Linked DNA regions of Callithrix jacchus. The protein of the gene in region 2 purifies or fractionates together with the protein of the main gene of each other region. This does not show direct contact. Links are inferred from orthologs where the notes say so. Each region holds a gene or a part of one and is shown on either strand. Other genes may lie near its edges.

Evidence for each region. Proteins that work in one complex are often made in the same cells at the same time.
Region 1: the proteins of TUBGCP2 (region 2) and LGALS3BP purify together in Homo sapiens (affinity purification with mass spectrometry; 3 studies listed by BioGRID and IntAct, counting the BioPlex papers as one, with this or other methods). This does not show direct contact. The link is inferred for Callithrix jacchus from reciprocal best matches to the Homo sapiens genes TUBGCP2 and LGALS3BP.

What each region holds. Positions count from the first base shown.
Region 1 is NC_133506.1:134,719,351-134,722,443, reverse strand, and holds the end of LGALS3BP (galectin-3-binding protein), read left to right. Parts: intron 1-521; coding exon 522-774; intron 775-1,050; coding exon 1,051-2,182; 3' UTR 2,183-2,527; downstream 2,528-3,093.
Region 2 is NC_133513.1:126,624,783-126,628,435, reverse strand, and holds part of TUBGCP2 (gamma-tubulin complex component 2), read left to right. Parts: intron 1-891; coding exon 892-1,099; intron 1,100-1,402; coding exon 1,403-1,602; intron 1,603-1,925; coding exon 1,926-2,115; intron 2,116-3,653. UniProt on the Homo sapiens protein: Component of the gamma-tubulin ring complex (gTuRC) which mediates microtubule nucleation.

The DNA.
Region 1 (3,093 bases), on a different chromosome or scaffold from region 2:
GGGCCTCGGGGCTGAAAGGGATGGGGCTCGGGGCTGGAAGGGGTGGGGCCTCAGGGCTGGAAGGGGTGGGGCCTCAGGGCTGGAAGGGGTGGGCCTCGAGGCTGGAAGGGGTGGGCCTTGGGGGGCTGAAAGGGGTAGAGCTCGGGGCTGGAAGTGGTGAGACCCTGGGCTGGAAGGGGTGGGGCTCGGGGCTGGAAGGGGTGGGCCTCGGGGGCTGCAATGGGTGGGCCTCGGGGGGGGGCTGAAAGGGGTAGAGCTCGGGGCTGGAAGGGGTGGGACCTCGAGGCTGAAAGGGGTGGGGCTCGGGGCTGGAATGGGTGGGACCTCAGGGCTGGAAGGGGTGGGGTTTCAGGACCCAGGGATCCGAAACTGCAGGTCTCTCCTGTTCCTCATCTTCCCAGGAGCCTTCCAGAGTGGATGAGGCAGACACAAATCCCCACTTTTAGATGAAGACGCTGACCCCAGAGAGTGGCAGCGCCCCGGGTCCTAACACAGCTTGCTTCCCTCCCTCCCGTTCTTAGAAACCAGGAGCACCCACACCCTGGACCTCTCTGGAGAGCTCTCAGAGGCCCTTGGTCAGATCTTTGACAGCCAGCAGGGCTGCGATCTGTCCATCAACGTGAGCGTGCAGGGTGAGGACGCCCTGGGCTTCTGTGGCCACACAGTCATCCTGACTGCCAACCTGGAGGCCCAGGCCCTGTGGGAGGAGCCGGGCAGCAATGTCACCATGCATGTGGATGCTGAGTGCGTGCCCATGGTCAGAGACTTTCTCAGGTGAGCTGTCTTGTCCTCAGGCTCTGGGGCCGCCAGGGGCTTTGTCCTCCTCCCCTCTTCAAAAGCACACCCACACGCACATGCACACCTGCACACACTCATGTGTGCACATGTATACACGCAGTCACACATGCACTCACACAGTTGCACTCACGCATACTTGCTCCCACGCTGTACACACTCTGGTGTGCCGCAGATGGCTGTGCTGGAGAGGCGGGCTCAGGGCTCCCCTGCTGTCCTGTGAGGCCGGCATCAGCTCTCCCTCACCCTTCCCAGGTACTTCTACTCACGAAGGATCGACATCACCCTGTCATCGGTTAAGTGCTTCCACAAGCTGGCCTCTGCCTATGGGGCCAAGCAGCTGCAGGGCTACAGCGGAAGCCTCTTTGCCATCCTCCTCCCCCGGGACCCCTCATTCCAGATGCCCCTGGACCTGTATGCCTACGCAGTGGCCACTGGGGACCCCCTGCTGGAGAAGCTCTGCCTTCAGTTCCTGGCCTGGAACTTCGAGGCCCTGACACAGGCTGAGGCCTGGCCCAGTGTCCCCACAGACCTGCTCCAATTGCTGCTGCTCAGGAGCGACCTGGCTGTGCCCAGCGAGCTGGCCCTGCTGAAGGCCGTGGACACTTGGAGCTGGGAGGAGCATGCCTCCCACGAGGAGCTGGAGGGCTTGGTGGAGAAGGTCCGCTTCCCCATGATGCTCCCTCAGGAGCTCTTTGAGCTGCAGTTCAACCTGTCCCTGTACTGGAGCCACGAGGCCCTGTTCCAGAAGAAGAGTCTGCAGGCCCTGGAGTTCCACACCGTGCCCTTCCAGTTGCTGGCCCGGTACAAAGGCCTGAACCTCACTGAGGATGCCTACAAGCCCCGGATTTACACCTCGCCCACCTGGAGTGCCTCTGTGACGGACAGTCGCTGGAGTGCACGGAAGTCACAGCTGGTCTATCGGCCCACAGTGGGTTCTTCACTCAAATACTCTGCTAATGCCATCCAAGCCCCCTTCGACTACAGATACTACTACCCCTACCAGTCCTTCCAGACCCCACAACACCCCAGCTTCCTCTTCCAGGACAAGTGGGTGTCCTGGTCCCTGGTCTACCTCCCCACCATCCAGAGCTGCTGGAACTATGGCTTCTCATGCTCCTCGGACGAGCTGCCTGTCCTGGGCCTCACCAAGTCGGGCCCCTCAGATAGTACCATCGCTTACGAAAACAAAGCCCTCATGCTCTGCGAAGGGCTCTTCGTGGCAGACGTCACTGATTTCGAGGGTCGGAAGGCCGAGATTCCCAGCGCCCTGGACACCAACAGCTCCAAGGGCACCTCTTTCTTCCCCTGCCCAGCAGGGCACTTCAGCAGCTTCCGCACAGTCATCCGCCCCTTCTACCTGACCAACTCCTCGGGCGTGGACTAGATGGCGTGGGTCAGGGGCCGGCAGGAGCAAGGGTGGTAAGAACCCAAGAAGCCCAGGATGCCCTCGCTGCAGGCTTCTCTCTTGGCTCCCTTCCTCTCGGCAACAACCTTCAACAACCGGCCACCAGATGTCCCCCTACTCCCCCGAGAGCTCAGCTTGTAGAAATTACTGGGAAGCTTCCACAAGTGTGCACCAGGAGTTCTCCCACCAGCCCACCAGTTTCCAGGTTGGGAAGCACCAAGACGCCCTCGAGGTCGAGGTTGCTCTGGGATTCCCACCCCACCCCCCCACTCAGTTTGCCTTTGTCACTGCTCTGAGATCATTACAGTTACACTGTGGTTGCTACATCTGTTTGTACAGAAAGTGTTACTGGGTCTATACCGTGTTGGGACATCGGGTGTTCCAGGCTCTGGGGGGCAGGGAATGAGGGAGAGTCCCTGTCCTCATGAAGCTGCGGGCTAGTGGGGGAGACAGGGAGCAGGAAGCACATCCCAGCCTGGAGCAGTGACACAGTGTGACACAAGCAGAGGGTGCGTGCCTCTGAGTGTGTGCACGTGGGTGTGTGATTGTGGGTGCATAGATGTGTGGGTTGTTTTTTTTTTTGAGATGGAGTCTCTGTCACCCAGGCTGGAGCACACTGGTGCACCCTCAGCTCACTGCAACCTCCACCTCCTGGGTTCAGGTGATTCTCCAGCCTCAGCCTCCTGAGTAGCTGGGATTACAGGTGCCCGCCATCATGCCTAGCTAATTTTTGTGTTTTTATAGAGACAGGGTTTCACCTTATTGGCCAGACTGGTCTCAAACTCCTGACCTCAGGTGATCTGCCCACCTCAGCCTCCCAAAGTGCTGGAATTACAGGCATGAGCCACTGCGCTGGGCCTATGAGTGTGTGTGCTTTTGAGAGCATGACC
Region 2 (3,653 bases):
CCACCATACCCCATCCTGGGTGACAGAGCAAGATTCGTCTCAGAAACAAAGGGAAGCAAACTGGATCTGCGCCGTGGTTGACGCTGTCGCCGAGGGACTCATGTTGGTGCTGCTTGCAGCTGCGCTCCGAGCCGCAGGGCCTGCAGTCACAGAGGTGTGAGGCTGACAGAGCCGTCGTGTAAACTGGAAGTGTGCTCTGCGGAGCCATTCTCAGCGGCTGGGGCCTGGTTTTGGTGCGGGCTGGCTGGCACCGGGGCCCTGTCAGGCCCATTGGGGACTGTTTCAACACGCTGCTTCCCCCGCTATGGACTGAGAGCTACGGACCCACCCTGGGACATGAGGGTTTGGTGGGTGGATGGCCCGCGGCCGTCCTCGAGGTTTGCTTGGGTGGTTACAAGGAGACTTAGCTGTCTGTCCTGCAGCCGTCTCACACGAGTGGATAGAAATGATCAGTTTCCTAACGTTTAAATGACAGCTTTTCAAAGACAACGTTGATTTTTTTTTTTTTTTGTCCCAGAGTAACCCAGACTCACCAAGTTGTACTTACAAATGCTGAAAGTACAACCTCCGCTGGAGTTGGTTTTTAAACCCTGAACTTCATCTTTTCAAATGTCAGGCACGTGTGTGAGCATCTCGGAGTCCCATGTGGTGAGACCTGACGTGAGCCACCGCGTCTCCTAGGCCAGCCCGACCTGCAGTGGGTGGAACTCAGCCAAGCACTGAGCTCCCCAGTGGGTCAGTCAGAGCCAAACGCAGAGGCTGACCTTTCATTCCCATAAACAGTCAGTTGGGGCATTATAACAATGAGCAAGAATGAGACTGACCGAGGATGAGGGCACAGTGGGGGGTGGGGTGGGGGCCAAGGAGCTGCAGCGCTATCTGTGCCCGCAGGCACGCTGCCCCTAGCCTCGCAGGAGTCAGCCGTGGTGGAGGACCTGCTGTATGTGCTGGTGGGCGTGGACGGGAGGCATGTTACTGCTCAGCCCCTGGCCGGGAGGCAGAGCCGGACCTTCCTTGTGGACCCCAACCTGGACCTGTCCATCAGGGAGCTGGTGAACAGGATCCTGCCGGTGGCTGCCAGCTACTCCACTGTGACCAGGTGGGCACCGGGCGCAGTCCCTGCGGGCTTACACTGCCGTGAGGGAGGGGTCAGGGCCCATCCTGATGTCCACGGAGACATCTGCAACCCTTCTAAAGAGAGCCCCCACCTTGGGGACAACTCCGTGACCGGCTCAGCTTTGGAGGGTCCTGACTCATCTCCTCGTAGGGGCAAAAGTTCCCCTCTGGGGTGTGGGATTTGAGTGAGTCATTTACTTCCTGTGTAGGGATGAGACTCAGAATATCTGACCTTTTATCTGGATGTAGATTGCCTTTTTGCAGAAGTTGACAGCTCTTCTCATAGGTTCATCGAAGAGAAGTCTTCCTTTGAGTATGGGCAGGTGAACCACGCCCTGGCAGCCGCCATGCGCACCCTGGTCAAGGAGCACCTGATTCTGGTGTCACAGCTGGAGCAGCTGCACAGGCAGGGCCTCCTGTCGCTGCAGAAGCTCTGGTTCTACATCCAGCCGGCCATGCGCACCATGGACATCCTCGCCTCCCTTGGTGCGTGCCCGCTGGGGAGAGTGGGGCAGTGGGTGGCAGGTGTCACAATGCAGCACCCAGCGTGTTGTGGAGCCGCCGCCCAGGCGAGGAGCCTGCAGCCAAAGCCCATGTGGCTCCGTGTGTTGTTATTTGCGAGAGGAAAGCCCTGGGGGCTCTCACTGGTCAGCTTTCATCAGCAGCTACAACCTTGCAGATTGTATACATCCCACACACGCAGCACCGTCCCAGTGAGAAGGCAGGAGAAGTGCAGGAGGCCCCAGCAGGGTCGTTGGCAGTCTGAGCGTGTGCTTCCCTCTCAGCAGTAAGCTCCCTCCTCCCCGCAGCCACCTCAGTGGACAAAGGCGAGTGTCTTGGGGGATCCACGCTGAGCCTGCTTCACGATAGGAGCTTCAGCTACACTGGGGACAGCCAGGCGCAGGAGCTGTGCCTGTACCTGACCAAGGCGGCCAGTGCTCCCTACTTCGAGGTTCTGGAGAAGTGGATCTACAGGGGCATCATCCATGACCCGTACAGGTAGGGCTCCCGGGGACATGGGGGGCACATTCTGCCCTCTCCCATATGGGTAGGGCTACTGGGGACATGGTGGGGTATGTGCTGCCCTCTCCCACACGGGTAGGGCTCCCGGGGACATGGGGGGCGCATTCTGCCCTCTCCCATATGGGTAGGGACATGGGGGACACAGAGGGGTGTGTGCTGCCCTCTCCCATACGGGTAGGGACATGGGGGACACAGAGGGGTGTGTGCTGCCCTCTCCCATACGGGTAGGGACATGTGGGACACAGAGGGGTGTGTGCTGCCCTCTCTCATACGGGTAGGGACATGGGGGACACAGAGGGGTGTGTGCTGCCCTCTCCCATACGGGTAGGGACATGGGGGACACAGAGGGGTGTGTGCTGCCCTCTCCCATACGGGTAGGGACATGGGGGACACAGAGGGGTGTGTGCTGCCCTCTCCCATACGGGTAGGGACATGGGGGACACAGAGGGGTGTGTGCTGCCCTCTCCCATACGGGTAGGGACATGGGGGACACAGAGGGGTGTGTGCTGCCCTCTCCCATACGGGTAGGGACATGGGGGACACAGAGGGGTGTGTGCTGCCCTCTCCCATACGGGTAGGGACATGGGGGACACAGAGGGGTGTGTGCTGCCCTCTCCCATACGGGTAGGGACATGGGGGACACAGAGGGGTGTGTGCTGCCCTCTCCCATACGGGTAGGGACATGGGGGACACAGAGGGGTGTGTGCTGCCCTCTCCCATATGGGTAGGGCTCCCAGGGACACAGAGAGGTGTGTGCTGTCCTCTCCCATATGGGTAGGGACATGGGGGACACAGAGGGGTGTGTGCTGCCCTCTCCCATATGAGTAGGGCTCCCAGGGACACAGAGAGGTGTGTGCTGCCCTCTCACATACGGGTAGGGACATGGGGGACACAGAGGGGTGTGTGCTGCCCTCTCCCATATGGGTAGGGCTCCCAGGGACACAGAGAGGTGTGTGCTGCCCTCTCACATATGGGTAGGGACATGGGGGACACAGAGAGGTGTGTGCTGCCCTCTCCCATACGGGTAGGGACATGGGGAACACAGAGAGGTGTGTGCTGCCCTCTCCCATACGGGTAGGGACATGGGGGACACAGAGGTGTGTGTGCTGCCCTCTCCCATATGGGTAGGGACATGGAGGACACAGAGGGGTGTGTGCTGCCCTCTCCCATATGGGTAGGGCTCTCCTGGGGACACAGAGGATACGTGCTGCCCTCTCCTGTATAGTTAGGGCTCCTGAGGACATGGGGGACATGGAGGGTGTGTGCTGCTGTCTCTGGGGTCAGAGCCTTGCTTTGCTTGTGGTCTCCGGAAAGCACACACTGGGCAGACGTGCACCTGCTGCCCACGCGGCCAGGGCAGCTGCTTAGGGCCTTCCTCTTTGTGTGCAAGACGTGAAATGCCTTCGTTAGGCCCTTCAGCCAGTTCGGTGCAAGGACCTCCTGAACTGGTGGGGTCTGTCGGCTTCTCTACAGCGATATATGTTTAAATTCATAAAAACATGTTTGTTTGCAAA